Oryctolagus cuniculus: one gene and its partner. The protein of the gene in region 1 interacts with the protein of each later gene in a pairwise test. Links are inferred from orthologs where the notes say so. Each region holds a gene or a part of one and is shown on either strand. Other genes may lie near its edges. The genes, in order: SRSF11 and HYI.

What was found.
Region 2: the proteins of SRSF11 (region 1) and HYI interact in binary tests that used the Homo sapiens proteins (3 or more experiments, as listed by UniProt). The two-hybrid records come from large-scale screens. The link is inferred for Oryctolagus cuniculus from reciprocal best matches to the Homo sapiens genes SRSF11 and HYI.

Annotation. Positions count from the first base shown.
Region 1 is NC_091438.1:102,133,008-102,148,968, forward strand, and holds part of SRSF11 (serine/arginine-rich splicing factor 11), read right to left. Parts: intron 14,430-15,961; coding exon 14,348-14,429; intron 9,547-14,347; coding exon 9,415-9,546; intron 5,476-9,414; coding exon 5,386-5,475; intron 1,169-5,385; coding exon 1,073-1,168; intron 759-1,072; coding exon 620-758; intron 515-619; coding exon 317-514; 3' UTR 1-316. UniProt on the Homo sapiens protein: May function in pre-mRNA splicing.
Region 2 is NC_091438.1:129,576,648-129,593,102, reverse strand, and holds HYI (putative hydroxypyruvate isomerase), read right to left. Parts: upstream 10,130-16,455; 5' UTR 9,731-10,129; coding exon 9,532-9,730; intron 9,456-9,531; coding exon 9,344-9,455; intron 8,457-9,343; coding exon 8,342-8,456; intron 8,183-8,341; coding exon 8,104-8,182; intron 8,023-8,103; coding exon 7,973-8,022; intron 7,892-7,972; coding exon 7,822-7,891; intron 7,711-7,821; coding exon 7,576-7,710; intron 7,464-7,575; coding exon 7,390-7,463; 3' UTR 7,312-7,389; downstream 1-7,311. Other genes in the region: KICSTOR complex protein SZT2, read left to right, coding at 688-778, 971-1,051, 1,132-1,206, 3,439-3,652, 3,948-4,101, 4,207-4,329, 4,420-4,825, 4,951-5,067 and 2 more. UniProt on the Homo sapiens protein: Catalyzes the reversible isomerization between hydroxypyruvate and 2-hydroxy-3-oxopropanoate (also termed tartronate semialdehyde).

The DNA of each region.
Region 1 (15,961 bases):
AGGAGATCATACAACATAAACAATCCATGCCTGCTGTAGATGCATGCAGCTTTTCATTTGTATTTAAGAAGCAGCACTAGAATAGTAAAACTGCTTACTCAGTCAGATTTCACCATGACAAGAATTGTTTACCCATGTACCATTTTTCTAAAAGCTTTTTGATGTAAATAACTAATATCAATGTCAGAAGCTTTATAACCATTTATAACTCAGCTGTATACATCTAGGTTTGAGATGAACAAATACAGCATTAAGAAATCACACAAAGGAATGACACTGATGCATGTACACAGTTGGAGTCCCAAAGAGGCAGCATTCAGTCACTCATATCCATGTCTTCTTCATGATGGTCATCCCCATTCACTTTGGATTCTCTTAGCGAATCACCAGCTCCCTTTTCCACAGAACATTCCTTAGTTTTAGGTGAACCAGCTTCAACTGGTTTCTTCTCCTCTTTTTTCTCTTTCTCGCTGTCATATCCCTGTTCCTCTTCATCATAATCCCGTGTAACCTGCTTTGCCAAGGAGAATAATAAAAGTAAACTTCTTCAAAGAAGAAACACTTCTTGTAAGTACCAACACCGCCCCAAATACCTAAATAAGTTAGTTTGTAAACATACTTTTACATCTTTATCACTCTCTGATTTTCTTTCCCGTTCCTTTTCCTTATCTTTACTTTTCTTCTTCTTGCTTGTTGATCGTTCCCTTTCGTCTCTGCTTCTTTCTTTGTCTTTATCTTTCTTCTTCTCCTTTTTATGTCTAGAATGACATTAAAATAAAATGTGCTCAAAATGATTCAAAGGAACTGCTCAAGGTTTCACCCTGAAGTATAGAAACATAACTTGTATAGATGGCGAGTCTGATCCAGCATTCTCAAGATGAATATAGGAAAGCAAAGGTCCAATTTCAAAACACTAAAATTCCCAATCCTACAGAGTGTGCATTCCTCCAAGGCTCAAGTAAAAGACATTTTAAGCATTTTAATCCTAGAAAAGAAAAACTATGAGACAATTTAAAAAACTGAAAATTCCTGAAAAATACAAGGCTAGAGCTAAATGATAAGACATTTTTACCTCCTAGGGGATGGTGAGCGAGACAATTTTCGTTTAGGAGACCTGGGTTTTTTAGGAGATCTTGTTCCACTCCTGCTTCGTCGTCGTCGTCTATCTCTAAAATCACAAATGAACACACTATGCTTTAAAATACAGTATGATCTCAGCTTCACTAAGAATCCCTACAACATGCTTCTAATGAAACAACTGTTGTAAAATAGACACTTGCAAACTGAGCACTTTTCCATCTTTACTGCTCAAGAGCACCTCTAATTTCTGGCAATTGTTCTTAAAGAAATTCTGACAAAATATTAAACTTGAAAAAAGACTTATTAACAAATATCCTAAACCAAAGAGGAAAAAGTCAGAAGTAACCCATTATTGAAGAAATCAGTTTCAGATTTAAACATTCAGTGGACAGAACAGGTATAACAGAGTAATTCAATAATGCTGTGATATAGAAAGTAGTCAGACAGCCTTAGTCTAACAAATGACAGAAATCAGAATTTGCATTGTCAGGGGCCAGCGCTGTAGCATAGCGGATAAAGCTGCTGCCTGCAATGCTGGCATCCCCTATGGGTGCTGGTTTGAGTCCTGGCTGCTCCATTTCCAATTCAGCTCTCTGCTATGGCCTGGGAGAGCAGTGGAAGATGGCTCAAGTCCTGGGGCCCCTGCAGCTCCAGGCTTTGGATTGGCACAGCTCCAGCCATTGAGGTCAACTGCGGAGTGGACCAGTGGATGGAAGATTTCTCTCTCTCTCTGCCTCTCCTTTTCTGTGTAACTCTGACTTTCCAATAAATATTTTAAAAAAAGAATTTGCATTGTCTTCCAATTTATCAATGTAATTTAATGTAACAGTTCACTATCCTTTAATCATTAAAACTTAACTGGGTAAGATTAAAAAAAACTGACCTCTGTTGAACTCCATGTTATTTCAAATACACTCTACACATTGATATAAGGTAAAAACAAAGATGAACTTTAGGTTTTTCTTCATAAACTGACCTAGAAAAACTTCCAATAGAGACAGAGTCAAAGTATTTTCAACACTGAAATATTTAAGGTCTGGAAAACAGTTCACATTCACAGACTGATAATCTAATGAGCAAAGCTTAAAAAAAAAAGGGGGGTGGGGAGGAATCTCAAAGAATGAATATATCCCCATTAACATAACACACAACCTACCAAGATTAAATCAAGACACAGAAACTGTAAGCGGACATGTAACAGATAAGGAGGTTGAAAAAGTAGTTAAAACTCTTCCATCAAAGAAAAATTCAGGACCTGATGGCTTTAAAGTTGAATTCTACAAAACTCCAATACCCTTCAAACCACAAAATATTGAAAATGATGGAACTCTGTTAATGAGGCCAGCATTACTCTGATATCAAATCCAAAGGTAAAATAAAATGACATAGCTGCTGAATACAGATGAAAAAATTCTTAACAAAATATTAGCAAACAAAATACAACACCACAGCAAAAAGATCATACATTATAGTCACACAGGATTTCTCAGAGACACAGTCATGTAACATTTCCAAATCATTAAATGCCCTAAATCATGTTAACACAAAAAACAAAAACCATTTGATCACCTGAACAGATGCAAAGAAACTATCTGATAAGATCGAACATCTCTTCATGATAAACAATCCTCAAAAAATTAGGTACAGAAGGAATTTACTTCAAAACGATAAAGGCAATCAATAAATGACAAACCAACAGCCAGTATCATACTGAATAGGAAAAGCTGAAAGCATTTTCCCCCTGAAATCTGGAACAAGATAAGGATATCCACTTTCACCAGCCTTATTCAATGTAGTATTGGGAATACTAACATCAAGAATTAGGCAAGGGAAAGAAATAAAGGGCATCAAAATTAGAAAAGAGACAATCAAAATATCCATTTTTCTTTTAAACATGGGATAACTTAAAAGACTCCACCAAAAAGCTGCTAGAAGAGATAAACTAATTCATTTAAGTCACAGGATACAAAATAAACATAAAAAACAGTAGCATTTTTACACACCATTTGCTAAAAAGAGAAGTCAAAAAAGAAATCACATTCACAATAACTAAAAAAAATTTAAACATAAAGAATAAACTTAACCAAAGAAGTAAAATCTCTACAATTAAAATTACAAAACATTGATAAAAGAAATCAACAAGGACACAGAGAAAATGGAAAGATATTCTCTACTCATGGATTGAAAGAATTTCATTAAAATGTACATCTTACTAAAAATTCCAGGCAATTCCTATAAAAATACCATTGATATTCTTTATAGAACTATAAAATAACAATGCCAAAATTGATATGGAACCATGAAAGACTCAGAATAGCAAGAGCAATCCTACTTACACACACACAAAAATCAAGCTGAAGGCATCAAATTATCTGATTTCTAAGGACACTATAAAATTGCAATAACACAAAGAGATCAATGGAATACACCGCTCTAAAGCTAACACATGTAAATAGAACCAAATGCTTTTTGACAAGAGTGCCAAGAACATACAATGGAAAAAAAGGCAGTTTTTTCAATAAATGTTGGCAACACTGGAAATACATATGTTGAAGAATCAAACTGGAACCCTACCTCTCAACACATACATAACTCAAGATGGTCAAAAACCTAATTATAAGACCTGAAACTACAAAAATATTAGAAGAAAACATAGGGGAAAGAGTTCAAGACACTGGTGTAACTAATGATTTCTTGAGTAAGATACCAAAAGTGCAGGCAACAAAGCAAACCTAGATAAATAGGATTATATTAAATTCAGAAGCTTCTAAACATGGAAAAAATCAATAGTGAACAGGTATCCGGGAGAACATATTTTTGTGCTACTTATCTGACAAAAGGTTAATGTCCAGAATATACCAGGAACTCACAAACTGTACAACAAAACCACCAATCCAGCCAAGAAATGAGAAAAGGACCTGAACAGTTGCCGAAAGAAATATAAATAGCCAACAAATAGAAGAAATAGGCTCAATATCACTTGTCATCAGGGAAATGCAAATCTAAATCATGATGAGGTACCATCTCACCCCTGCTGGTGAGGATGTGGAGAAAGAAGAATTCTTAAAAAAATTTTATTATTTATTTGAAAATCAGAAAGATAGAGACAGATATCTTGCATCAGCTAGTTCACTCCCCAGATGGCCACAATGGCCAGGGCAGTGCTACACCAAAGCAGGAGCTTCATAAGGGTTTCCCATGTGGGTGATAGGGGCTCAAACACTGAGGACATTTTCTGCTACTTTTTCCCAGGCCTTTAGCCTGGAGCAGGATCAGAAGTGGAGCAGCTGGGACATGAGGCAATGACCATGTGGGATGCTGGCATTGCAGGTGGCAGCTTTACCCATTAAATCACGATGCCAGCCTGAAACAGGAACTCTCATTCACTGTTAGTGGGAATGTAAATTGGTTCAGTCATCTATTAACGGTATTTCTTTAGGGGCCGGTGCCATGGTATAGCAGGTTAAGCTGCCGCCTGCATCCCATATGGGCACCAGATCAATTCCTGGATGCTCCACTTCCAATCCTGCTCCCTGCTGATGGCCAGGGAAAGCAGTGAATATGGCCCAAGTGTTTGGGCCCTTGCACCCACATTGGAGACCCAGATTAAGCTCCTGGCTCCAGGCTTCGATCTGGCCCAGCTTCAGCTGATGTGGCCATTTGGGGAGTCAACCAGCAGATGGAAAATCTCTAACTCTGCTTTTCAGATAAAATAAATAACCTTAAAACTCTCATATGATCTAGCATTACAGGGTATATATCCAAAAGATATAAATCAGTGCATCAAAGAAATGCCTAATTCATCATTCATTCATCACAAGTCAATTTATGGAATTAACCAAGGTGTCTGTCATCACATGAATGGATAAAAAAAAGTAGTACATATAATGGAATATAATTTAGCCATAAAAATAGTGAAATTGTGATTTTTTTGTAAGTAGATGGATGAACAGGAGGGCATCATGTGAGTAAAATTAGCCAGACATAAAAGACATACATATTCTCCCTTATACTTAAAAGTTAAAACTGAGTAACAAAAAACTCAATTCAACCTGAACAGAGAATGTTGGCTAGGAAGGTTAAGAAGGATAGATGCAGTTTAGATAAAAACAAAACAGGGGAAGCTGTATGTGTGGGCTCATTAATTATGACAAACATGCTAATATGGAAAGTAAATAATAAGGGAAGTTTGGTTAGGGATATTTCAGAACCATTTACATTATTACTTCACAATTTTTATAAATTTAAAATTATTCTGAAATAAAACATTTTTCAAAAAGTGAAGAATGCATAATTCTGTCTTACCTGCTTGCACTTCTAGAACGTCTGGCTGTACTGTAACTTTTTGGTGGTGTTTTGGAACGTTTTTTTTCTTTGTCTTCTTTCTTTTTGTCTCTAATAAATCAACAAGCACAATTCAAGAAGGCATTACAAAGTTCTGTTAACTGCAATTTAAATAGTGCTACAAATCAAAACAAAAGCAAAATTATGTCTAATAACACCTGTAAAAGCATGATTTACAATTCTGATAGAAAGTATTTTTAGAGATACTAGTTCATGTGGCAAAGGTGGGGTTCAAAAAGTTATGAAAAAATTGAATTAAAGTTTTAGTTATTTTGGTGTAAAACTGTGAATCCATGCAGACAGATCTTCTAAGAGTTCATGGAAAATGTGCATTATGAAACAACTATGGAATTCAGCTTTTTGTTTATTTTAGAGGCAGAGAGAGAGAGAGAGAGAGCGAGCGAGCTTTAATCTGCTGGCTCACTTAACAAATGCTTGCATGTATTCAGGGCTGGGCCTGGAGCCAGAAAGTGAATCCAGAGTTACCTGAGCCATCACAGCTACCTCCCAGGGTATGCATTATCAGGAAATTGTAATCAGGAATGGAGCCAGGATATAAATCCAAGCACTCCAACACAGGGTATGTTTATCACAAGAAATGTATTCACTGCTAGGGCATCCATCCTTTAATTTTTTGCACCAAACAATCCTGTATTTCCTTTTGGCACCGGTTCAACCCGGCTGCTTCGCTTCTGATCCAGCTCTCTGCTGTGGCCTGGGAAAGCAGTAGAAGATGACCCAAGTCCTTGGGCCCCTGCACACACGTGGGAGACATGGAGGAGGCTCCTGGCTCCATATCGACACAGCTCTGGCCACTGTGGCAAACTGAGGAGTGAACCAGTGAATGGAAGACCTCTCCCTCTCTTTGCCTCTCCTCTTTCTGTGTAACTCTTTCAAAGAAATAAATAAATATTTTTTTTTAATTGACAGGCAGGCAGAGTGGACAGTGAGAGAGAGAGACAGAGAGAAAGGTCTTCCTTTTTCTGTTGGTTCACCCCGCAATGGCCGCTGTGGCCGGTGCACCGCACTGATCTGAAGATAGGAGCCAGGTGCTTCTCCTGGTCTCCCATGTGGGTGCAGGGCCCAAGGACTTGGGCCATCCTCCACTGCACTCCCAGGCCACAGCAGAGAGCTGGCCTGGAAGAGGGGCAACCGGGACACAACCTGGCGCCCTGACCGGGACTAGAACCCGGTGTGCTGGTGCCACAGGTGGAGGATTAGCCTATTAAGTCGCAGTGCCTGCCTATAAATAAATCTTAAAAAAATAAAATAAATAAAATTCCGTTTTCCTGGTGTTTTACTCAAGACATCTTTCCAATGTACAAATATACTGTATGTCTTGAGAAAGAAACTAGGATTTTGCCTAATTTCTTTGTGTTTTGATGCTAAACATCAACAGTTTTAATAATTGTCTTGAGGCTCTTTAACAGTCTCTTATTTTCTCAGATGACTTTACCATTTTCTCTAACCACCTCCACTATCAGTCCAAAACCCATAATGTATTACCAAAATCACTCACATCATCAATATTCTTGTAAAACATACAGCCCAAGTTAACTTCTGTCACAGATGAAGCCATTCTATCTTTGTGTTAGTTTTTTAAAGATCAATTTATTGGGGGCTGGCGCTGTGGCACAGTGGGTTAACGCCCTCGCCTAAAGTGGCGGCATCCCTCATGGGTGCCAATTCGAGTCCTGACTGCTCCTCTTTTGATGCAGCTCTCTGCTGTGGCCTGGGATAGCAGCAGAAGATGGCCCAAGTCCTTGGGCCCCTGCACGCACGTGGGAGACCCGGAGGAAGTTCCTGGCTCCTGGCTTCAGATCGGCACAGCTCTGGTGGTTGCGCCCATCTGGGGAGTGAACCTGCGGATGGAAGACACCTCTCTGTTTCTACCTCTCTCTGTAACTGTCTTTCAAATAAATAAAAATAAATCTTAAAAAACAAAACAAAACAAAACAAAACAGACCCTTGGCCGCTGTCCTAGCCCAATAGGCTAATCCTCCGCCTGCGGCGCCGGCACGCCAGGTTATAGTCCCGGTGGGAGCGCCAGATTCTGTCCCAGTTGCCCCTCTTTCAGGCCAGCTCTCTGCTGTGGCCAGGGAGGGCAGTGGAGGATGGCCCAAGTCCTTGGGCCCTGCACCTGCATGGCAGACCAGGAGAAGCTCCTGGCTCCTGGCTTCGGAGCAGCGCGGTGCGCAGGCGGCTGCGCGCCGCTGGAGCGTCCACTGGGGGGTGACCCATTGGGAAAAAAAAAAAAAAAGAACTGCTCAAAAGAAATAAACAGGTATTTCATAAAACAAGAAACATAATCACCCCCCAAAAAAGATAAATTTATTTATTTGAAAGGCAAAATGAGAAAGAAAAATCTCTTCCATCATCTAGTTCACTCCCCAAATGCCTTCAACAGATAGGGCTGAAACAGGTTGAGGCCAGAGCTGGGAATTTCATACAGGTTTCCCACGTGGATCACAGGAACCCAAATACTTGGCCATAATCTGCTGCCTTCCCAGTGCACTGGCACGATGCTGGAGTGGAAGCAGAGTATCTGGGACTCAAATTGGCACATGATATTACAGGATGTGGGTATTAAAAGAGGTGGCTTAACCTGCTAAAGCACAATGCCTGCCCCACTTCCACCTTGTTTTGATGCTATATACTCTTGGACTATTCAGTGCTACTGTAATGAACTAGTATTAAAATTATCCTCAACTCAATTCTTTTTGGATTCCTTTACACTTGTTTTTATTGAAACAACATTTTTTCGCCCAAGGCCATGGGCCATCTTCCACCGCTATCCCAGGCCATAGCAGAGAGTTGGATCAGAAGAGCAGCAGCAGGAACTAGAACCGGCACCCATATGGGACGCCAGTGCTTCAGGCCAGGGCTTTAACCTGCTGTGCCATAGCGCCGGCTCCCTATTCCATAATTTTAGAGATCAAAGTATTCCTTCTGTTACTTCACGCCATTCTTCCCACCCTATGTTCTCTGTTTCATTGCTTCCTCTACTGGCCATCCTGTTCAATGATCATTTCTGTTTTTCCAAGTACTTATCGCCTAATTTCAAGATACTCTGTTTATTCCCATTCCAGTTTCCTCCAGGATCACGTGCAAACACAGTCTGAAAACAACCCTTTCTATGATCTGTCTCCTTACACTGAATTTATTTACTGGTTCTCCTATATAGAAATATTCACCATTTCAAAAACTCATGCTAACATTGCAAACACCATTCTCTACCTGAAACTATGCACCCCACAGAATCTTTTTAAATGGATGCAAACTGAATACTCAGGAGTCACTTCTCAATTAAGCCCCTTCCAACAACATTAGCCAAGTGGCAACCATCACCTAACAGTGGTTCCTTTTTAATTTTATCACACTCTCCAAATAAACAATAAACAGAATATTCTTAAGGGAAAGAATGTTGAATTCTTTTTTTATGATAATCATTTCTTTAAGCAACTTCGTTTTGATTAGCCTAATGAGATTGACTAATATACAACGAAAAGCCTATTATAGGCTGAACATTCAGTAGTCATACTAATTAAAAACAACTGACTTTGTATAAAAGACTGGTTACTGGAAGTATGTTTTAAGTAAAAATCAAACATTAATGTGGGGGACCTGCTTTAATGAATCCTCATTTTAACCTTCTACTGGTCCCAAATTATGGGATAAGAGATATTCTAGTATGGTTCAGTTTCTGGCAAACAAAGATACTTAATAAATGCTTTGAACTCATTGATTACTGGGATATACAAGGACAAATATATTACATATGGTCATATAGAGTTTTTCTTCTGAGTATAATACAAGAAATGCATGGCAGCAATAAATCCTTTGCAGTAGTTGAATGGAATGGAAGAAATTCTTGTCTAGTTTTAACTTCCCAAAATTCCTTGCCTCTTTTGTAATTTAAGTAGCACAGTATTTGGGTTCTTGGCAATTCTAAAAGTTCTCTTCTTATCCAATGTCAAGAGTCTGTTATACCTGGTTTTTGATGTGCTCCTTGACCTTCTACCTCTCTCTCTGGAATGAGATCTTCTCCGTCTTGGACTTTTGGATCGTCGTCTACTCCTTGACTTAGAATGTGATCGCCTCCTTGATCTGCTTCTTGATCGCCTAAATGTGTAAAAGGAAGCCAACAGATATATTAAGTTATAAACATTTCACTTAGTCCCAGACATATGAATTAACTGCCAATTAAGTGGGAATATTCCCTTCCATATAAAAAACATGTTGGTGCTGGCATCCTATATGAACACTGGTTCGTGACCTGTATACTCTGCTTCCAATCCAGCTCCCTGCTGATGGCCTGGGAGAGCAGTGGACAATGGCTCAAGTGCTTGGATCCCTGCATACACATGGGAGACGCAGAAGAACCTTCTGGCTCTGGACTGGTTCAGCTCCAGCTGTTGCAGCCATTTAGGGATAGAAGCAGATGGAAGACCTGTCTCTCCCTCTGTCTGTAAATCTGCTTCTCAAATAAATAAATCTTAAACAACAACAACAACAACAACAAAAAACCTTGCAATCTCAATACTTTTTTTTTTAGAGATTTATTTATTTCAAAGTCAGAGTTAGAAACAGAGAGAGATTTTCCATCTGATGGTTCACTCTCCAGATGGTTGCAACAGCCAGGGCTGCACCAGGCCAAAACCAGGAGCCTGACCTGCTTCTGGGTCTCCTACGTGGATGGCAGGGGCCCAAGTACTTGGGTCATCCTCTGCTGCTTTTCCATTATCAGGAAGCTGGATGAGAAGTGCAGCAGCCAGGACACGATGTCTATGTGGGATGCTGGACTAGAAGGTGGTGGCTTTACCTGCTACACCACAATGCTAGCAGCAACAATACCTTTAAATACTTAGAATTTCTCCTCTTTTTTACTGTATTGGTCAACTTGTCAGACCAGTCCTCTCATACCCAATGAACCAAGAACTCCAAAGTTAAAACTACTACTATATGACACACACACACACACACACAAAAGAAAGATATTGCACCATTTTCTATAACCGTACAATACTGAAAAACATCTTTTATTTATTATTACTGCAAGTTAAACCTTATTATTATTATTTTTTTTTGACAGGCAGAGTGGATAGTGAGAGATACAGAGAGAAAGGTCTTCCTTTGCCGTTGGTTCATCCTCCAATGGCCGCCGTGGCTGGCGCGCTGCAGCCGGCGCACCACGCTGATCCGAAGCTAGGAGCCAGGTGCTTCTCCTGGTCTCCCATGCGGGTGCAGGGCCCAAGCACTTGGGCCATCCTCCACTACCCTCCTGGGCCACAGCAGAGAGCTGGCCTGGAAGAGGGGCAACCGGGACAGATTCCGGTGCCCTGACCGGGACTAGAACCCGGTGTGCCGGCGCCGGCTCAAGTTAAACCTTATTTATCAAGTATCAAATGCTTACGCTTACTATGTGCTTGACAAATAGGCAATCATGAAGTCTAAAAAAAGTAAGTCCCATTATTATTCCTGTTTTATAGATGCAAACTACTTAGTATGTTATCATTTACTATTTCTAACTGTTGTTCTTTGAAATTCCACTTTTTATATCCATAGTCTAAAAAACTCTAATCATGTACAAATTGCCTCATTTACTCTCATTTTCTCATCAACATTACAGTCTCTATACCATCCTCTTTTCCATTACATCAAAGAAAGGAAATGTTTTTTTTAATCATCCTCATCCCCGGGGAACCATCCAATAAACACTTCTTGGTTTTCCAAGAACTTCAGTAGCACATTTAACCTATAGATGCTGTCACTGTTCTTCCCTACCCCCCACCTCCACCCCCTTTTAAAAGGTTTTATTTATTTGAAAGTCAAGAGTTACAGAGAGATTTTCCATCTACTGGTTCACTCCCCAAATGGCCTAAGAGCTGGGGCTGGGCAAGGCAAAAGTCACGAGCCAGAAACTTCTCTCTGGTCTCCTATGAAGGTACAGGGGCCAAAGCACTTGAAGGGAGCTAAATCAGAACTGGAGCAACTGAGATTCCAACCGGCACCCATATGTGGTGCCAGTGCCACAACACCGGCCCTCCTCCTTCAAGTCTTTGTTATTCTCAATCTTTTGCTTAGTCTTGATATCTTAATTTTTAGTGACCATTCAAGTCCTTTCTGTGGAATATTTCAAATATACCTAAACTTTCTACATGTTTTCATTTTCAGGGTACTAGAGTCGAGAAGTTCTAGAAATGGAATTGTGTTCAACTTTTATTTATAAACCAAGTTACTTGGAGTATTATCTAATCTCTCTGATCCTGTTACTTCATTTATCTCTATTACATAAAAATAGCACCTTTCACTTGTACAGAGTACAACTCAGTGCCTTCATGCAGAAATGTATGACATTCAACACTCTCTTCCTCTTACTAATGCAGTAAAAGGCTTCAATTGCTGTAACTCTCTAAAACAACTGGCTCAAAGCCCATTGTACTGAACTAAATAAACTTTTTTTATCATCTCTTATTTTAGGGTATATTTGGAACTACTTATGACAAATTGTTAAGAAGAACCAAGATAGTAAAAGAAGTTATGAGAAAGCAGACAACTGATAGAAATATGTTTCAGATGAGATCAGCTAGGAGATGAAGAATACCCAAAAAAAAAAAAAAAAAAAGTTTAAGAGTCAAATGGTGGGGGCTGCTGGCCTGCAGTGCCGGCATCCCTTCTGGGCGCTGGTTCGAGTCCCAACTACTCTCCTCTTCCAATCCAGCTCTCTGCTATGGCCTGGGAAAGCAGAAGATGGCCCAAGTCCTTGGGCCCCTGTACCCGTGTGGAAGACCCAGAAGAAGCTCCTGGATCCTGGCTTCAGATCAGCATAGCTCTGGCGTTGTGGCCATCTAGGGAGTGAATCAGCAGATGGAAGACCTCTCTCTCCTCCTCTCCCTCCATCCCTCTCCCTCTAATTCTGCCTTTCAAATAAATAAATCTTAAAAAGAAAAGTCAAATGGTGGAAATATGGAAAATGAATCTAAAACTAGTTGAAGTAACTGAGGTCAGCTGGAGTATTCTAGTTCTGAATGCCACTCTACAACTATAATGCAATTACAAGCAACCTGGATTGAGTTTAGAAATCAAGTAAAACAAGAAACCACTGCAACAGTTGGTGATGAATAACAGAGTAACGGTTATCAAATTGTGGCTAAGGAACTCTGACTACTCCAAGATTTTATGGGGTCTGTAAAGTCAAAATTATTTTAAAAATAGTGTATTATATGCTTTTGTCAGTGTGTTGACATCATTTTCACTAGTGATGCAAAAGAATGGTAGTTAAAAATGATGGCATCACCTCATCACAAATTAAGACTGTGGCAACAAAACTGTGCTAGTAGTCATCTGTGTTTCTGAATGCATTTGAGCTAGGAAAAAATCACTTTCACTAAAGGAGTGTTATGTATAAGATTTTGTCTATTTATTTAAAAGTCACAGTTGACAGAGAGAGAGAGAACTTCCATCTGCTTGTTTACTTCCCAGATGTCCACAATGGCCAGGGCTGGGCCAGGTGCTTCATGGAGGTCTTCCACATGGGTGGCAGGGCCCAAATACCATTTTTTTTTTCTCTAAGGTTTACTTATTTATTTGAGCGGCAAGGAAGAGACAGAAAGAGGTCTTCCACCTGCTGGTTCACTCCCCAAATGGCTTCAATGGCTGGAGGTGGGCCTATCCAAAGCCAGGAGCCAGGAGCTTTTTCTGGGTCTCCCATGTGGGTACAGGGGCCTAAACACTGGGCCATCTTCCACTGCTTTCCCAGGCGCATTAGCAGGGAGCTGGACTGGAAGTGGAGCAGCTGGGACACAAACTGGTGCTCATATGGGATGCTGGCATTCCTGCTATGCCACATCACCAGACCCTAAAGGTGGCTTTGATGAGGCAGTTAATTTCATTAAATCTAGTTCTTTGCATACTATTAAAGTAGTAGCAACATTAATGTTAGCCTTTTGAGTAACATCTCCAATAAAATGGAAATTATAGATCACTTTAGATGGCTCTATCAAGAAAGATATTTGTGTGATTAAGTTGTGAGTTGAATTAGTTGCTTTTTCATGAATACCACTTTCAAGAAACAACAAACTGGTTACTTAAACTTGGCTACTTAGCAGACATTTTCCTGAAAAATGAATGAGGTAAATTATATCAAGGAAAACAACCAAATTTGCTGCCAGTAATAAAAACTTGTGCTTTTATGACAAATTTATATTTAAAGTTTCCCAACACTTCAGTTTTTCTGAGATATGCAGTGCTATTATCAAGTACCATATTTTTTGCTACTGAGGAACAGATAAATGTAAGTATTTGGCAACTTTTATAATGCAATGAATCTCTTGTTTTCCAAATGACCAATGCTTGCTTTCAGAAATCCTGCCTGGGGAAAAAATACATTAAAATTTTTGCTTCAAAGCCCTATTATTTCAAATGAGTTCTAATTTCTATATGATCAACACGGACCGATGTGACTCACTGCTTGACACAGTTCTCATATATCTTTTTACAACTCTAAAGAGCCTGTTGGCCAGAGAACCTTATTCACAAAGGGATGCCAATCTACTTCTACTCCAGATAAGTAAAAGAATGATACTGTAAGCTTGTCTGGTAATACTAAGTATAATCTTAAGAATTATTTGCAAATATTCTAAATTTGAACAAATCTCAATTTAACAGACTTAGATTGTCTAGAATTCAAGTCAAAATTCTTTTCATAGCACCAACTCATCATACCACCTATTTTTTTGGATTTAATTTATTTATTTAGTCTGCATCTTTTCCCCTTTTATGCCAACATAAATTCACACTGTTAACATCAACTGTTACTGAAGCATACTTTAACCAGGAAGTAGTGGCTTTACAGCAATTAAAGAAGGTGCATACAGAAATTATCTTTGTCTAAATTACAAGTGATTGTAAGAAACAATCTAACCTGTGCCTAGAAGATGAAGGAGTCCTCCTCCTCCTGGAACGTGATCTTGATCTTGAATGCCTTCTTTTTTCTTCTTTCTTATCTACATTTGAAAGAAAAGGAATCTGCACTTAAAAATCATCAAATAGGAACATTATTCCCTTCAGGAGTTATTCTAACAATTTCTTTACTATTTTAATTTATTTTCTAGATATGTCCTTGTATCTTAAAGTGATCACTTATAATCACAATGTTGAAGTCTACTGAAGTTATTAGGTTCTTTTGAGTTATCTCACTTTCCAGGTGTAGAAGCCTATGAAGTGTTTCTCGTAAAACAAGCTATGAAAAGGGTGTTGTTCTTATTCTTTTGCTTTTTTTTTTTTTTTTTTTGACAGGCAGAGTGGACAGTGAGAGAGACAGAGAGAGACAGGTCTTCCTTTTGCCGCTGGTTCACCCTCCAATGGCCGCCGCTGCAGCCGGCGCACCGCGCTGATCCTGGCAGGAGCCAGGATCCAGGTGCTTTTCCTGGTCTCCCATGGGGTGCAGGGCCCAAGCACCTGGGCCATCCTCCACTGCACTCCCTGGCCATAGCAGAGAGCTGGCCTGGAAGAGGGGCAACCGGGACAGAATCCGGCGCCCCAACCGGGACTAGAACCCGGTGTGCCGGCGCCGCAAGGTGGAGGATTAGCCTATTGAGCCACGGCGCCGGCTCTTGCTTTTTTATTTACTTGTTAGATTTTTAAATGAGTCTCCTTTCCTTTCTTAGATTCTTCACAAATATAGTTATAATTCAGCCAAGTTAAAGCTTAATTTTCATGTATTTATAAAAAAAAATCTTACTAACCAGGACTTAAATATATTTAATAAAAACAATTATTGTAAATAAATAAAAATATTAGGCCGGCGCCGCGGCTCACTAGGCTAATCCTCCGCCTAGCGGCGCCGGCACACCGGGTTCTAGTCCCGGTCGGGGTGCTGGATTCTGTCCCGGTTGCCCCTCTTGCAGGCCAGCTCTCTGCTGTGGCCAGGGAGTGCAGTGGAGGATGGCCCAGGTGCTTGGGCCCTGCACCCCATGGGAGACCAGGAAAAGCACCTGGCTCCTGCCATCGGATCAGCGCGGTGCGCTGGCCGCGGTGCGCTGGCCGCAGTGCGCCGGCCGCGGCAGCCATTGGAGGGTGAACCAACGGCAAAAAGGAAGACCTTTCTCTCTGTCTCTCTCTCTCACTGTCCACTCTGCCTGTCAAAAAAAAAAAAAAAAAAAAAAAATAACATACGGCAGTTCACACTCTAGTAACATGTTCCTTACCATTTATGCACCACAGGTTTGGCGTGTAGAGAACTTTCTCCACCAAATAACTTTATATTCCTTTGTTAACAAGCATGGTATGTATATTTAGGTCAAAGTGGATAACAGATTTCCTATTTGGCCCCCAAATCCAGAAAATCACAAATGATTTACTTTAATTTCACTGTACTACTGAATTAGATCTCAGCAACCCAGCTCTCTTCCTGAAACCTATTTAATCACTTGCCATCAATGTTCCATTGTGTACATGCAGGAAAAACTGATCTACAGTTGTTTTATTACCTAGATTTTAAATAACAAAAAAGTTCCTTTAACTTAGCACCTTAAGA
Region 2 (16,455 bases), about 27 Mb from region 1:
TCCTCAGTGTGGTCTCTGTCCAGTCAGTGATGTCCTTCTCGCCAGCCTGAATTCCTTTTTAAAATACGACAACTGTGTTTTAAAAGTCTCTGGAACAAAAATTCAAGTCAGGCCTGCCTTCCTTACCAGTCTTTAGTGATCACCCATTACTACTTCCAGTCTCGTTTGATTCCCTTGAGAGTTTAATGGGCTGTTTCTTCTGCCAGAGGCTTTGACCCCAGCAGTTCTGTAGCTCCCCGGGGAACAGGTGGGTCCTCCTCAGCCTTCCAGGTTGATCCTTGCTGGGCTGGTGGCGCCTTCCCTGCTGCTCGTCTGTGAGGACCAGCCAGCCTTCCCCAGTCATGAGAGCAAAGCACCTTCACACACTTGGATCTTTCTAATGGAATCTCAGACATGCCTCAAGGCCTCCTGCCTTTGCCTCGCCCTCACGAGTCGGGGAGCCTTCCTGAGGGGCACTGTCCTCGCCTCGCCTGGCAGCAGTAGCTGCAGGAGCCCTGCCCTGCTCTCTGTGCCTGCACTCTGGGCCCTGCCGTGCCCCTACTCACCATGGACCTGGCCAAGCTGCTCCCCTCCACGGGCCTATTTCCTGTCCTGCAAAATGATTCCATGTAAAGTGGACTCGGGCTGACAGCTGCAAGGCTTCACCTCCAGCCTACTCATCCTCGTTTCCCCCTTCCCCTTCTGCAGTACCAGCCGGCTGCGGGCCATGGCTGTCCTTGGAACAGAGGGCCGAGGCTCCTTCTCCTGCCCGAAAACCAAGACTGAGGGGAGCCCCAAGGTAACTCACTGTCATGTAACAAAGCCAACAGCACCCAGACTCCAGTGCCACTGGTCCTGAAACATTTCCCGGTGGCCCTGCATGATGTACTGAGGTCACTGCACTGTTAAAGTCAAGGACCCAGGAGCCTTCCACCCTGCTGGTTCGAGGCTGGCGAGTCCCCAGCCCTTGCCCTCTTTCTCCTGTCTTCAGAGTTCTGGATCTTCCGTCACCACCTACCACCTGCAGCGGGCACTGCCCGGGGGCATCATCCTCATGGAGCTGACTTTCCAGGTGAGCTGGGGAGCACTGGGGGGCAGCGCCAGGCCTCCCTGTATCTTGCCCTCCTGACCTCATCTTCTTCCTCCCTCCAGGGCTGTTACTTCTGTGTCAAACAGTTTGCCTTGGAATGTTCCCGGATCCCAATGGGGCAGGCTGTCAACTCTCAGGTATGTGGCAAGAACAGGAATATGGGGCGACCCAGGCTCAGGCACGGTCAGTACGGCCCCAGTGTGCTGTGAGTAGGCCGGCCCAGTGACTGATCTGGTGCCATGTCCTGACTAGGCCAGTTGTCATTCTGGTACCATGACTAGACCCACTGGCCATCTGACCCTGGAGTCCAAGTCCATCCAACTGTTGCACCGAGGCAAAAGGTTGTCCAGCTTAGTGGCTGGTCTGGCTTGGTCCTGCTGGCACTGTGGTCATCCGTAACAGACAGCTGGACAGCGGGGACACTGGAGCACAAGGGATAGCCCGTGTTTAGGTGGATGCCCCCGGCCCAGTCGGGAGTTGAGGCGTCCTGGTGTTGTCAGCACAGTCACTGACACCTAGAGTAAGGACTAGGGCTCTCTCCCACACAGCATACCCCAGTTCTGCCCAGGGTGGGGCCTCTGTACCCCAGGAGGGCCAGGGCCAGAATGAGTCAGGGCCCTGAAGCTCTTGCTATACTTGTGTTAGTGCAGCTCCTACATGTTGCCAGGAGCAGCACACGAGGGCCTGTGCCTTCTCCTCGTTTCTGAGAGATCAGGATCTGTTTGGATCCAGTACAGACAAGACAGACACCTCTCCATTGTCTAGAGCCCTCAGGTCTGGACAGTTCCTCTCCAGCCCATAGATGCCTTTGACTTGAGTATGGATACCTGGTCACAAGAAACCCCAGGGTAAGAGGACCCCATAAAAGCATGGTGACGTTGTATGTAGGAATTGACCTGGGCCAGCGTGCTCAAAAGGGAGCACGGGTGAGCAGGTCCTCTCACACCTGCCTGTAGCATTAGAGGGAAGACCCCACCCCATTATGCTCCTCAGCTTCCTTCTGGTTTCCCTGCCCCGATCTCCGGCTGACCCAGCACCCACTTGACCGCTAAGCACACTCGGGTTTCTAGATGGCCTCATTATTACTGCTGTTTCAAGTGACTGGTGTGTGAGCGTGGACTCAGCAAAGAGGAGCATTTCAGTCCCACTGCACAAATAAGGACACTCAGTTCACAGAGGCTACGTGAGTGGGGCCAAGACACACAGCTAGTCCATGACGGTTTTGGGGACTCATCCTGACTGATTCCCGTTTAGCACATCCCCTCTAACTTTATGAAGACCTTCACATTTTCTCCAGGGTGCAGGAGGACATCAAGACAGAACCTCTCGCCTTCCCTGTTAACACCTAAGCCTGATGCCCCCAGCAGCGGGCCATGCAGTCTGCCACTCCAGCAGCCCTCACCCAGCTGTTAACACACTTTTTTTTTTTTTTAAGATTTATTTATTTATTTGAGAGGCAGAGTTACAGACAGAGAGAGGGAGAGACAGAGAGAAAGGTCTTCCATCTGTTGGTTCACTCCCAAAATGGCCACAATAGATGGAGCTGAGCTGCTCTGAAACCAGGAGGTTCCCCCAGGTCTCCCACGTGGGTGCAGGGGCTGAAGCACTTGGGCCATCCTCCACTGCTTTCCTAGGCACGTCAGCAGGGAGCTGGATTGAAAGTGGAGCAGCTGGGACTCGAACTAGCACCCATATGGGATGCTGGCGCTGCAGGTGGAGGCTTAACCTACTACGTCACAGCGCCGGCCCCTGTTAACACACTTTGAGTAAAGGTGATCTCCATCAGAAGCTCCTGCCCCATGCCCGGCCCAGCGCTGGCAGGCATGTTCAGATGAAGCTTTCAGAACGATGGGAAGATGAGGCTGGCGAGGAGGGAAGGAGCAGGAAGAGCTTTGCAGCAACTGTGCGCCCCCTGCCCTCCAGACCACCGCCTGATCTTCCCCAGCACCATTTTCTGAGGCATCCTCTGTGCAACTGACTCACTTCGTCTGATGCGTCTCATCGCCCACAACTAGACTGTGCTCCTGGAGGGGAGGGGCTTGTTTCTGTTCCCCAAGGGACCCCCGGCATCTACAACAATAGCTGGTAGGGACACGGCAGATACGCAGCAAATACCTGCTGCGTCAGTGGGTCCGTGCCACACTCTAGTGGAACCCGAGACCCAGCCGAAGGCCCAGTCTCAGAACAGTTAGAGCACAGTGGGAAAGATGCAGATGTGAGGAGGGGAGCATCCCCCACCCATTGTGCTGGCACAGAGAACTCTGCTGGGGAGCAGCAAGGGGCATGAGGCTCCCCTGGGAGGAGGGAAGTGTGTGCGGGGCCACCTGTGCCACACACCCTCACATCGTCCCCTGCTGCCACCTCCCCAGCTGTCCATGCTGTTCACAGAGGAGTGCGACAAGGTGAGGGACCTGATGCATGTCCACTCGTTCAGCTACGACTTCCACCTGCGCCTCGTGCACCAGCACGTGCTGGGCGCCCACCTGGTGCTGCGACACGGCTACCACCTCACCACCTTCCTGCGGCACTTCCTGGCCCACCACCCTGATGGACCCCACTTTGGCCGCAATCACATTTACCAAGGTTCGTGCCAAGGGCAGGCCAGAAGAGGAATAGGCCACCAGGTGTCTCCCCCCGCCAGGGGGAGTGGTCCCCTACTGTTAGTCACCTCGTCGCATTCATACCATGTTGCCATGCTCTGTCCTGCGTCTGAGGTTCTTCACTGTCAGTTTCATGTCACAGTTTGGACTTTGTAGTATGTGGACCCTGCCTCTATTCTGAGCCACTTTCATCCCACCTCAGTGTCCCCAGGAAAACAAGGCATTGGCTACTCCCATCCCAGGCTCAGTGTCTGCTGTCTCCTGTAACTTCCCCTCAGGAACACTGGAGCTGCCCACACCACTGATCGCCGCCCACCAGCTATACAACTACGTGGCTGACCACGCCAGCTCTTACCACATGAAGCCACTGCGCATGGCCCGGCCAGGGGGCCCAGAGCATAACGAATATGCCCTGGTGTCGGCATGGCACAGGTGAGGCTGCCGGGGCTGAGGCTGGGCGGTGCTTGCAGTAGGGAGGGAGACGCACGTCTTCTGGGGCAGAACAGGGCTGAGGTTGACATCCCGCCCACCGTGTAGCTCTGGCTCCTACCTGGACTCCGAGGGACTTCGCCACCAGGACGACTTCGACGTGTCTCTGCTCGTCTGTCACTGTGCCGCACCCTTTGAGGAGCAAGGAGAGGCCGAGCGGCATGTCCTGCGGTCAGCAGATCCCCGCCTGCGATACCCCCACTGCCCCACCTGCCCCCAGCTCTTGCCCTGATCACTGCTCTCGCCCCTCTCCCCACCCAGGCTGCAGTTCTTCGTGGTGCTCACCAGCCAACGAGAGCTCTTCCCAAGACTCACTGCTGACATGCGCCGGTTTCGGAAGCCCCCCAGGCTGCCCCCCGAGCCTGAGGCTCCAGGGAGCTCAGCTGGCAGCCCCGGGGAGGCCTCAGGGCTTACTCTAGCCTCTGGAGCAGCCCCTTTGTTCCCACCACTGGCCGCAGAGGTGGGTATGGCACGAGCACGGCTGTCACAGCTGGTCCGGCTGGCTGGAGGCCACTGCCGTCGGGACACCCTCTGGAAGCGCCTCTTTTTGCTGGAGCCTCCGGGGCCTGATCGGCTGCGGCTGGGAGGTCGCCTTGCCCTGGCAGAGCTGGAGGAGCTCCTGGAAGCAGTCCATGCCAAGTCCATTGGTGACATTGACCCCCAGCTGGTAAGACCTGGGGCCTCCACACAGGGCTGGGGTGGGTGCCAGCATTCCACAAGCAGCCAGCATGGAGGGCACAGGAGTCTCCATGGGGACTGCGACAGCATTCAGGCCTGTGCACCCTCTCCCAGGACTGCTTCCTGTCCATGACGGTCTCCTGGTACCAGAGCCTGATCAAGGTTCTCTTAAGCCGCTTCCCTCAGAGCTGTCGCCATTTCCAGAGTCCAGACTTGGGAACTCAGTACCTGGTAAGTCCCCCTGAGCACCTCTGAAAGGGGGAAACAGGAATCCTCAAGTGAGGTGACAGGTGTCCCCTCAAGGAGCCCCAGGCTGACCACAGGGAGGCCTACATGGAACAGGATAAAACCCTCGGAGCACTGAGCATCGAGCTGCAGTAGGTGATTTGTTGGGAATTACCCAAGAACTCTGTCCACAAAGGCTCACCAACAGCCTGAACCCTGGCGTCAGATTCCGGGGCCAAGCTCAGGACTGACAGCCCTCGGAGCACACAGAACCTAGCACCTGGGCTCAGAAGTGGAGGACCGGAAAGCATGTGTTGGGCCTTAAAGCCGATATTCAGAGTGTGTGGTCCACAGACCAGCAGCATCAGCGTCCCTCTCGGGTCCCACTCCACGTACAGACTCAGGATCTGCATCTTGGCAGCATCGCTGGGGATGTGTCCCACGTTCTAGACAGGAGTGACGGTGGTGGACAGGCATGTGGGGAGGTGCACCCAGCGAGCGCTGGGGCCAGGAGAGCAGGTGGAGAAGCCTTCCAATGCGGAAGCAGTCGGGGCCTGCGAGGGGTCCTGCAACATGGGCCCGTTCACTTCCAGATATACAAAGAGCCCTGTAGTGAAGCTGCAGCCAGTCAGGTGAGGCTCAGCAGTGCAGGTGGCAGGGGCAGGTGGGGGTGCTCCTTGGGTGGCGAGAACACTGAGCAGCAGTGGGTCGGGGGCAACGGCGCCAAGTACAGCAGGGTCAGGTTGAGAGCCCACGAGGCTCCTCACCGTCTAGAAGAGATGAAGCTCAGGGGAGAGAACCAGCCGGGAGCGGAGCATGAACTGGTGGGGGGGTGGGGGGGGGTGGCGCTGGGGAAGAGAAGTCGCCACGGGACCGATCACGTAGCTGTGCATTAGGGAGCAGGTGGACGGAGGGGGACTGGCCCACAGGAGGCCAGAGTGCTGAGAGCCAGGAGCAGGCAGGTGACAAGGTTGGGTTGTGCCCAGGGTGGCAAGCCCTCCTTCCTTGGTTGGCTACAGTGTGCCAGGCTTTGCACAGCATCTCTGGCCCGAGTGCTGCTCTCGTCCTGAGGAGATGCAGACAGGCTGGCAAGCCAGGGAGGGTGCAGGTAGAGGTCCACGTTGGCAACATGAGCCTGAGTGACAGGCGTGCAGGTGAGGGCAGGTCTCCACAGGTGCCCCACAGGAGGCTGTGGCCCCTGCCCCTGCCCCTGCCGTGGGGCGGCCTCACCCCAGCCCCCTGTGTGCTTCACTGCAGGTTGTGCTGAACCAGAAGTTCACTGACTGTTTTGTGCTAGTGTTTCTGGACTCGCACCTGGGAAAGACGGTGAGAAGAGGGGGTTCAGCCAGTGGGAGGCCGTACCCTAAGTGCTCCACCTGGGAGCTTGCTGAGGTTGGGGTACCCACTCTTCCCCAGCCCTGCTCCCTGTCCCCACCCACAGCCTCCTCTGACCAGCACACCCGCTGTTTCCCACAGTCTCTGACAGTGGTCTTCCGAGAGCCCTTCCCCGTCCAGTCCCAGGACAGCGAGAGCCCCCCTGCCCAGCTGGTCTCCACCTACCACCACCTGGAGTCCGTCATCAACACAGCCTGTTTCACCCTGTGGACCCGCCTCCTGTGAGGCAGCGCTGAGTCACCACTGGAATCCTACAACTGGGCAATGCCCCCGAGGCAGGACTGACCAGGTCTTCTGGCCCATGGCAGGAGAAGCTGAGTGTCCCTGAAGGCTCAGGGCTGCCTGCCCTAAACGTGCACAGCCGCTGCCCAGCCGCAGACTCCAGAGGGTCAGGCCAGCTGCCTGAGGTGCCCATCACCGCTGGGCCCTTCCAGAAGAGGACTCCTCCTTCCTGCTCCCTGGTGGCGTCCGGGAGTTGGTTCTTCACAGGAGGTGGTGAGCACTCAGCAGAGCTCCCCTTCCTAAATCCTGCTGCCCAGTCTTGACCACTGTGGGCCACCTGCCCACCTTGGGCGTCACTTCTCGACCTGGACATTTAGCCTTCTTGGTTCCAACCCCAGCTCTGCCTTTGAAGCACCCAGGACCACCACCGAGCCCCTCTGCTCTTGGACCCGTGGTTTCTCATCTGTAAAGGACATGGGCTCCAGCACTCTCCCAGCCGCTCAGAGCCCTGGCACCGACTGGAGGAGTCAGTGTGAGCTGTCTCACGTCCCCTCAGTGGACGGGGACACAAGAGAAACGGAAGTGTTAGACACTATGTGTCCTCCCCCCAGACCCATAACAGACACATGAAAATGGTCAGCAGGCGTCTTTAATTCAGACTTGGGATTCTCAGTCCCTGGCCCTGAGAGGCATCTGGGTGGTGTCAGGGCCTCACTGGTCAGCCTGTGGGCGGCCCCGCCTGTCCCAGTAGGAACGGAGCCAACTCAGACCCTCCACGGTGTCTCCTGCGGGAGGGAGTGGGAGTGGCATTTCTACCCAGGGAGAGGGAAACTGGCCCATGCACTGCCTGTCCCGCCAGGGCTCTGAGCATGCCCAGATCCCCTCTCTGCCCCTCACCTTGGGGCCGATACTCGCAGCCCACAAAGCCTTGGTAGCCTTGGTCTTCCAGCAGCTGGAATAGGTAGGGGAAGTTCAGCTCTCCGGGGCTGCTGGGCTCCCCTCGACCTGGGACCTGGGCCACCTGCACATGGCCTGGGGACAGATGTGGGCAGATGTGGGGCCAGGCTCCCACCAAGGCCTGAGGGACAGAAGGGGAAGCTGAAAGGTGGGCACAGGACTTCGCACTGGGAAGCGGACCCTCACCCACAATGGGCAGGAACTCGCGGATGTTTCCCGTCAGGTTCCCGTCCATGATCTGCCAGTGGAACACGTCCTGGAGACCGGAGCACTGGTCAGGCCCTGCTCTTCCGCATCTGGGGACGTGGGCCCTCAGCACTCCCCGTCATCCACTCACCATTTGGAGCTGCAGATTGGGTCTTCCGACTTTCTGCAAGATGGCTGCCGCTGGGGGAGAAGCCGAGCCCGGGGCTATGAGACTCAGAGAGCACAGGGACTAAAAGGGACAGAGCGGGCCAGGGGTCCTACCCTGCTGGGGCGTGTCCAGGAAGTATCGGGGGTCCGTGACGCGGGTGTTGATGGGCTCCAGCAGTCCCACGAGGTTCTCCTGGCACCGTGTCAGATGCCGTGAGCACAGCTGCTCCCCAAGGCTGCCCCTGCCAGCCTCTCGCTGGCCAGCGCCTGCCTTTGCCTCGTGTGCTCTCCCCACTGTACACCCGCTCCAGTACACACGCAGTATGTCTACATGTGTCTCCACTCGTCTCACCTGGGCCAGAACCCCAGCCGCATGCCTCAGGTTCTCCAGAAACACCGTCTCCATCTCCTCCCGGACTGCTGCCCGATCAGCCCCCTGCGGTACTCGGCCAGCCATCAGGTGAACCCTGGGGGCAGATGGGACCAGAAGCCTTCCCTCCCTCGGCTCCCCACACAGCGCTGCCAGGACAGCTCTGGGTATGCTGGCTCACCCATCTCCGTGAGCATGCAGTCCGGCCCAGAGCCCCGAGACACTCCTGTGTCGGCCTGAGGCCCAGGCCTTTCCCAGACATCTTCCCGGCAACCCCTGGAAGTCTATCCTTTCTCACCCCCTCTGCTTTCAACCTCCCATCCCCAGGTCCTCCCAAGCAGGCTTGGGTCTCATCTTTAAAAGCCATCCTGACCTCGCCCTTCTTGGCTGCTTGCCTGCTTCCTCTCCTTCCCCTCATGCCCCAGTAGTGCCCCTGTGTCACCAGGATACCTCTGCTCAGCCTGTGTGACCTCTGTAGGAGGTGACATTGGTGGGCCCAGCCCCTTTACGCCTTCTACCTCTCTCCCCATCGCCACCTGTCTTTTTCAGCCACAGGCATCTGGCAGCAGAAGCTCCAGGCTCTCCCAACCCCAGACCAATCCCCAGCCTCACGGCTTCCCCAGCCTCACTGCTTCCTCTTGCCTCTCTGACCTGCCACTCAGGCCAAGGGCCCTCTTTCCCCGAGCAGCTTTCTCTGGTCCCAGACAAGCTCAGGTGCCTGCCTTGCTCCCACAGCTTCCTGTGGGCCCTGGACATGTTGCTATCTCCCCGGACTGACTGAGCCGCACCCCGGCATAGGATGACACAAAAGTGGTGAACGGGACAGCACACGACAGATAAAATACAGAAGGACCGCGTCTGGAGGGGGTGAGGGCCGGGGCGCTCTGACGTGGGCGCTGTCAAGCCCCACCCCGCCCCTCCAGCTCCCGACCTCGACCCGAGGCAGGGTCAGGTCACCAAGGGGGAGGGGCGGGGGCAGGGTACCTAGGACAGCCCAGGGCCTTGGCGTACAGCACGGCCTGCTCCAGCCCCTCTCGGAAGGCCACCTGTCTTCCGGGAACGGCCCCCAGCCCCATCTCCCCCTTCTCTTGGTCTCCTGCGGAGAGAAAGCGGCTCGGTGCTAGCTCGGGCACCCGCGCGGCCCGCGCGCCCTGCCGGGCCCCGCAGCGCACCCGGGGGCGTGTTGATCAGAACCAGCCGCAGCCCGGCATCCTTGGCCGCGCGCGCCAGCGCCTCGGGGTCCTCTGCGTACGGCCAGGCCACCTCGGCCGCCTCGAAGCCGGAGCGGGCGGCGGCCTGGAGCCGCGCAGGAAGGCCGGGCAGCTCGGGGAACAGCCAGGACAGGTTAGCGGAGAAGCGCAGCGGAGCCATGGTGCGAGCATGGGCCGGCCAGAGTCCGCGCGCCGACCGGAAGGCGGAAGCCGGCGGGCCGCGCACGGAGGTAGCCGAAGCCTGGCGCCGCCAGAAAGGCGCTGGGGTGGGGGCAGGGAGGGGCGCGGCGAGCGAGAGGGGCGGGGCCCGTGGGGAGACAGACAGCCGGGCGCCCCAGGGACCAGTTGCCGTGGCTGAACGTGTATAATGTCCCCATTATAAAAATGAGATCTGTGCCACCAAACAAAGAACTTTTATACCGTCCCTTACCGCACAGCTAACCCGTTAGCTTTCCCATACGGATTAAAAAGTACATGTGCAATTTTTTTCTTAGAAAATTCTGATCATCCTGTATGTGCAGCTTTGTTGCCTTTTTTTTTCTTGTAATGTTATTTTATGACCTTGTTCCCGTGTTCTTTAGTATTCTTTAAAAAAGCCATCACTGTAGGCAGCTCGTAATTATCACAGTAGACGGGCACTCTGTGTGTGTGTGTGTGTGTGTGTGTGTGTACACGTGCGCGCGCGCGCGCGCGCTCTAGAAGAACACGTCCATGCACCTCTTGGTCCCCTTCTTTGTCTTAGTTTCCTCTTCTGGAGATGTCCATCACAGTGTCTGCCTGTCCACAGCCTTTGACATTTATGTGGACACCTGGGCCTGCCGCTGGCCACCTCACTAAGCAACTGTGGGCAGGCCCCCTGAGCCTGAGCACATTGGACCACTGGAGGACATCTGGTCCCAGGGCAGCCAACCCAGAGACTGCCAGGAGAGTCTTGCTTGCCTTGTTTGGAAAGATTGGCCAATCAGATTCCGCTCTCAAGAGTTAACCAGGAGATGCTGAGAGTCCAGTGAAGAGGTGATCTTGCCGGAAGGTGACTGGGGCCTGACTGGGGCCGTGGCAGCTTCAGAAGCAAGAGTCAGATGGTGAAGAAAAGCCAGAGCAGAGAGATGGCAGCCCTGGGAGCAGAGGCACAGCCTGAGAACCCCCGCTGTGCCCGCAGCCACCCCCAGCCTGCACTTCCTGAGGCTGGATGCTTGCATTTTCCTAGGTTTCTGTAGAGCCTTTCTTAAGATAATTTGAATGAATTTGCTTTAATCTACAATAACCCAACTGAGCAGGCAGATTCTTACAGGTAGCATTCCATGGTCAAAAAATGGGGAATCTTTTTCAGCTCTTGATGGCTGTTATAAATTGCTTTGCAAAAATGTAGGCTTATACTCCAACAATCCATGAGTTGAAGTCATCTTGGTTTATTTTCTGTGCTAACTTTGGCAGAGAGAAGGTCAAAGCACACAGTAACAGCACCCAGCACTAGCACCCAATTTATCCTGCCCCTGCCCAACTCCAGCCCAAGTCAAGCCCACTGGAGCATCTAGGGTCCAGGCTGATCCTATAATTAATCCCAACGCTGGCAGGTGCCATTTCTTCAGTTCCACCCCTAAGAACAGACGGCCACCAGCTCGTCTGATCACCTGATTGCCTGCCCACGTGCAGCTGACTTCGTACTTGGAACTTTGGCTTGTCCTGGAACCAGCTTCCTGGGTGTAGTCCAATGAGGATGTGACCTCACCTTGTTACATTTCAATCCATCCCGACTTCAGCATAGTTACAATGCAAAATTGCCAGTGCCGACTAACAGCTAGGAGGAGCAATGCCTTTATTAACCCTCCCCTATACATCTCTTAGTAAGCAGTTTCTATTTAAGCCTTTCAAAGCAGCCCTGTCTGCTACTTTCTGTGTCAGGGACACGTTCAGCCTCCAGGGGTCAAACCCTTTCGTTTGTGCAGTGGAGATGGTGCACAGACGAGGGGCTCACCGCTCACTGCCCCCTCAATCCCTTCACAACACCTTCACACAATACACCAGAATAAATGGACACGTTCAGTATCCGTGGAAAGCATTGGCTTTTGAATGTTGCTGTTGTTCTTCTTTAAAATTTATCTATTTGCATTTTATTGAAGAACAGAGAGACAGAGAAAGAGCAGGATCTTCCATCTGCTGGTTCACTCCCCAAATGGGGCCAGACCAGGCCAAAACCAGCAGCCTGGAATGCCATCTGGATCCCCGCCGTGGGTAGCAGAGGCCCAAGGACGTGGGCCATCTTCCACTGCTTTCCCAGGCACATTAGCGGGGAGCTGGATCAGAAGTGGAGCTGGGACTCAAACCAGCGCCCATATGGGATGCTGGTGTTGCAAGCAGGGTCTCCACCGGATGCACCACAACCATGACCCCTGCCTTTAACTCTCAACTGAAGAATTTGCTCAAACATAATGTTAAGGTGACAACAATGTATAGCTGAAGACTTGAGTATAGAGTTCAGAGTCTCACCTGGCCACTGAATACACTCACCCATGTGAGGTGCAAATCAAAACCTCACTGAGACTGCATTTTATATCTTCAAGATTGGCAAAAATAAAAAAGGCAGGCACTATCAAATATCGGATAGGATTTGGAACAACTGAGATGTTTATTCACTCACTGCTGGTGGGAGTGTGAACCACCACAGCCAGTTTGGAAAACACTTTGGCATCATCTCTGAAAGCCCACGTACCTGCATCCACTAGTTCCTCTCCCAGGAATGTTCCTGCAGGAAACTTGGCCACAAATGTGCCAGGAGACAGATTCAGTGATGTTCATAGCAGCAATGTTTTTTAAAGATTTATTTATTTATTTGAAAGGCAGAGTTGGGGCCGGCGCTGTGGCACAGCAGGTTAACACCCTGGCCTGAAGCACCAGCATCCCATATGGGCACCAGTTCGAGACCTAGCTGCTCCACTTCTGCTTCAGCTCTCTGCTATTGCCTGGGAAAGCAGTAGAAGATAGCCCAAGGCTTTGGGCCCCTGCACCCACGTGGGAGACCCAGAAGAAGCTCCTGGCTCCTGGCTTCGGATTGGCACAGCTCCAGCTGTTGCAACCAATTGAGGAGTGAACCATCAGATGGAAGACCTCTCTCTCTCTTCCTCTCCTCTCACTTTGTAACTCTGACTTTCAAATAAATAAATTAATCTTTAAAAAAAAAAAAGGCAGAGTTACACAGAGAGAGAAGGGGAGGGAGAGAGAGAGAGAGAGAGAGAGCGAGCGCTTCCATCCACTGGTTCACTCCTCAGTTGGTCACAACAGCTGTAGCTGCGCTGATCTGAGGCCAGAAGCTTCTTCTGGGTCTCCCACGCGGGTGCAGGGGCCCAAGGACTTGGGCCATCTTCTACAGCTTTTCCAGGCCATAGCAGAGAGCTGGATCGGAAGTGGAACATCTGGGACTCGAACCGATGCCCATATAGGAAGCCTGCACTGGAGGCAGCAGCTTTACCCGCTACGCCACAGTGCCAGCCCCAGCTGGCAGCAACCCAGATGTCCAACAGTAGACACATGGGTGAGTTGTAGTCATACAGTGTTGTAGCTGGAGGTGACCAGGAAGACTGGTGGCACAAATGATAAGGCGGCATCTGCTCTTGTCTCAGCGCAGTGGGTGAGGAGTTTAGTCAGGTTTGGCTCAAATTGAAAACATCATGGTGAAGACATCAGATGGATAAACTTCAGATGAAGATGGATAAACCTCAGATATCCCGATGGATAAACCTCAGAAACACAGTCGTGAGAGAAGGCAGTAAATCGCACAGAAATGCACGTGATTGCATCTGTGGAAGGCCAAGGGCAAGGAAACCTTTGGCGCTGCAAAGGTCTGTGGTAGCACAACGTGGCACGATGGTGACCCCTGCAGGGTGCGGGAAGGGCAAGTCAGCACCTCCCAAAGTCATTGTCATCCCTTCTCCCAGTCATGCAGCCTAATTTTACCACTCTCTTTTATGGCTTGCATGTATTTTATAAATACCACTTTACGTATTTGTCCCATAGTCAATAAAAACAAACTTTTTAAGCCTTCTGTGTGCATTTCCACCACCTGCTAGCACGTTTTATATTAACATTCTCAAGTGCTATCATCGTAGTCGCAAGGTTTTTCCTGCAGACTCAGCTTGTTTGTGTCGTCTGTATAGTTTGGGCTATAATTATTGCTTTTCCAAATTATTGTCCAAGAAGAAGCCGAAAGGCAGCAGCAGGCAGAGAGAGCTTCCATCAGCAGGCTCACTTCCCTGATGCCTGCCATGGCTAAGGCTGGGCCAGGCTGAAGCCGGTAGCAGGGAGCTCAATCCATGCCTCCCGTGTAGGTGACAAGGACCCATCAGCTGCCGCCTCCCGGGTGTGCATAAGCAGGACGTCAGAACTGGGAGCAGAACCAGGAACCTGAACCCAGCCATCCAGGATGGGGCACAGGCAACCCAACTGGAGGCTTAAACATTGCACCAAGTCCTCACCCCGATAATTGCAGATGTTTAGGCTCAACGCGCCCCAGCGCAGTACGGAGGTCTTTTCTTGTGTTACCTTCTCAGAACTTACTACAGATAGCCTAGAAAACGGTCCCAGCGAGCTCTGCTCCCTGGTGTATCTGCCCCTGGACACTGCCCTCCCCTTGAGTGCGAGCTGGCCGCGTGCCTCACTTCTGGCAGACAGAACATGGCAGAGTGATAGCGTTGGGGCCAGCGTTATGGCGCAGTGAGTTACACCACCGCCGCCGATGCTGGCCTCCCATATGAGCTCTGCTTCCTGATGCTCCACTTCCGCTCCAGCGCCCTGCTCATGCACCTGGGAAAGCAGCAGCAGACGGCCCAAGGGTTCAGGCTCCTGCCGTCCACATGGGAGACCCAGATGGAGTTCCAGGCTCCTGGCTTCAGCCTGGCGCAGCCCTGGCTGTTGTGGCCATTTGGGGGGAATGAACCAGCAGATGGAAGATGCCTCTCTCTGTGTCTCTCCCTTTCACTCGGTAACTCTGCTTTCCAAATAAATAAAATAAATCTTTAAAAAAAGAATGATAAAACTGTTACCGAGCCCAGGTTCGTTCTTTATTTATTTATTTATTTATTTTTATTTTATTTATTTTTTTTTCGAGCCCAGGTTCTTTGACTCACTTGCAAATAACTGACAAGAGGCCAACCTGCAGCCAGACACAGTTTATTGGGGCTTATGCTCCCATGCAAGGGACACAACACAGCCACCTACCCATCCCCATCAAGAGCTGAACAGGGGGGCCTGTACTGTGGCTTACTAGGTTAAGCATCTGCCTGCAGCTCCGGCATCCCATATGGGTGCTGGTTTGAGTCCCGGCTGCTCTGCTTCCAATCCAGCTCCCTGCTGATGGCCTGGGAAAGCAGTAGAAGATGGCCCAAGTGCTTGGGGCCCTGCTCCCACATGGGAGAATCTCCTGGCTTCTGGCTTCTGATAGGCCCAGTTCCTGCTGTTCAGCTATTTGAGGAGTGAATCAGCAGATGGAAGACCTCCCTCTGTGTCTTTTCCTCTGTTTGTAACTATGCCTCTAAAGTAAACAAATAAATCTTTAAAAAAAAAAAAGGAAAATGACTTTAAAAAAAAAAAAAGAGCTGAACAGGTACTTTTATGGAATTGGGGGAGCTTGGCAGTTCCCCCTTGGCATAGGGCACTTTGCTGCAACCAACCATGCTTTTGTTTTTATTTTGTTCTTGCACACAGCACACTCAAAACGGTGGTGTTGCCCACTACTGCCACCCCTGGAAGGTCACCCACCACCACACTGGGTCACTCTGGGCATGCATGCAGGTCAGAAAGTCCCTAACAGAGCAGTTAGGGGGTCTTCTGCACTTAGGGTCTGGAGGCGCCTTGCTCCCGACTGGTTTGGAGCTGGAGACGGATACAGAATTAGATTGGGAGGGGCTGGGCTTGGTCGTGTTCCTCTCCCACCTCACAATGTCACTTCAGAGTTTAAGGTACGAGAAGGCGGTGGCCTCTGTCTCCAGTGCCCTCTCTCAGTCATTCATTCAGCTTCTCCAAGGAAATCCAGCTGCCTCGTGTGAGCACGCCTATGGAAGGACCATTGTGTCAAGCAACGGTGTCCTGGCTGTCACATGTTGAAGCCTCACATCCCTGTAATGGTATTTGGAGGTAGAGCTTGGGGGGTGGTTAGCTTTAGACGGGGTCCAGCAGGTGGCACCCCAAGAGGGGACCCGTGTCCTGGTAAGAAGAGGAAGGGAGACCACAGCTCACTTTCTTCCTCCTGCTCTCTGCCGTGTGAGGACACGGGGAGAAGCAACCATCTACCGGGCAGGAACCGAAACAACAGGCACCTTGACCTTGGATTTCCCAGACACAAACTCCCAATGTTTAAGCCACTCGGCTGATGCAGAACGCAGCCCAGGCTGACTAGGACATGGCCAGCTGCTGGCAAGGGCCCACAACCTCACCAGCAGCCACATGCATGAGCTGAGAGACGCATCTTCCCCGAGGTGAGTCTTTTTTTTTTTTTTTTTTTTTTTTTTACAGCAGAGTGGACAGTGAGAGAGAGAGAGAGAGAGACAGAGAGAAAGGTCTTCCTTTACCGTTGGTTCACCCTCCAATGGCTGCTGCGGCCAGCGCGCTGTGGCCGGTGCACCGCGCTGATCCGATGGCAGGAGCCAGGTGCTTCTCCTGGTCTCCCATGCTGGTGCAGGGCCCAAGCACTTGGGCCATCCTCCACTGCACTCCTGGGCCACAGCAGAGAACTGGCCTGGAAGAGGGGCAACCAGGACAGAATCCAGCGCCCCGACCGGGACTAGAACCCAGTGTGCCGGCGCCGCAAGGCAGAGAATTAACCTATTGCGCCACGGCGTGGGCCTGAGGTGAGTCTTAAAACGATTGCACCCCGGCCAACACTCTGGTCGCAGC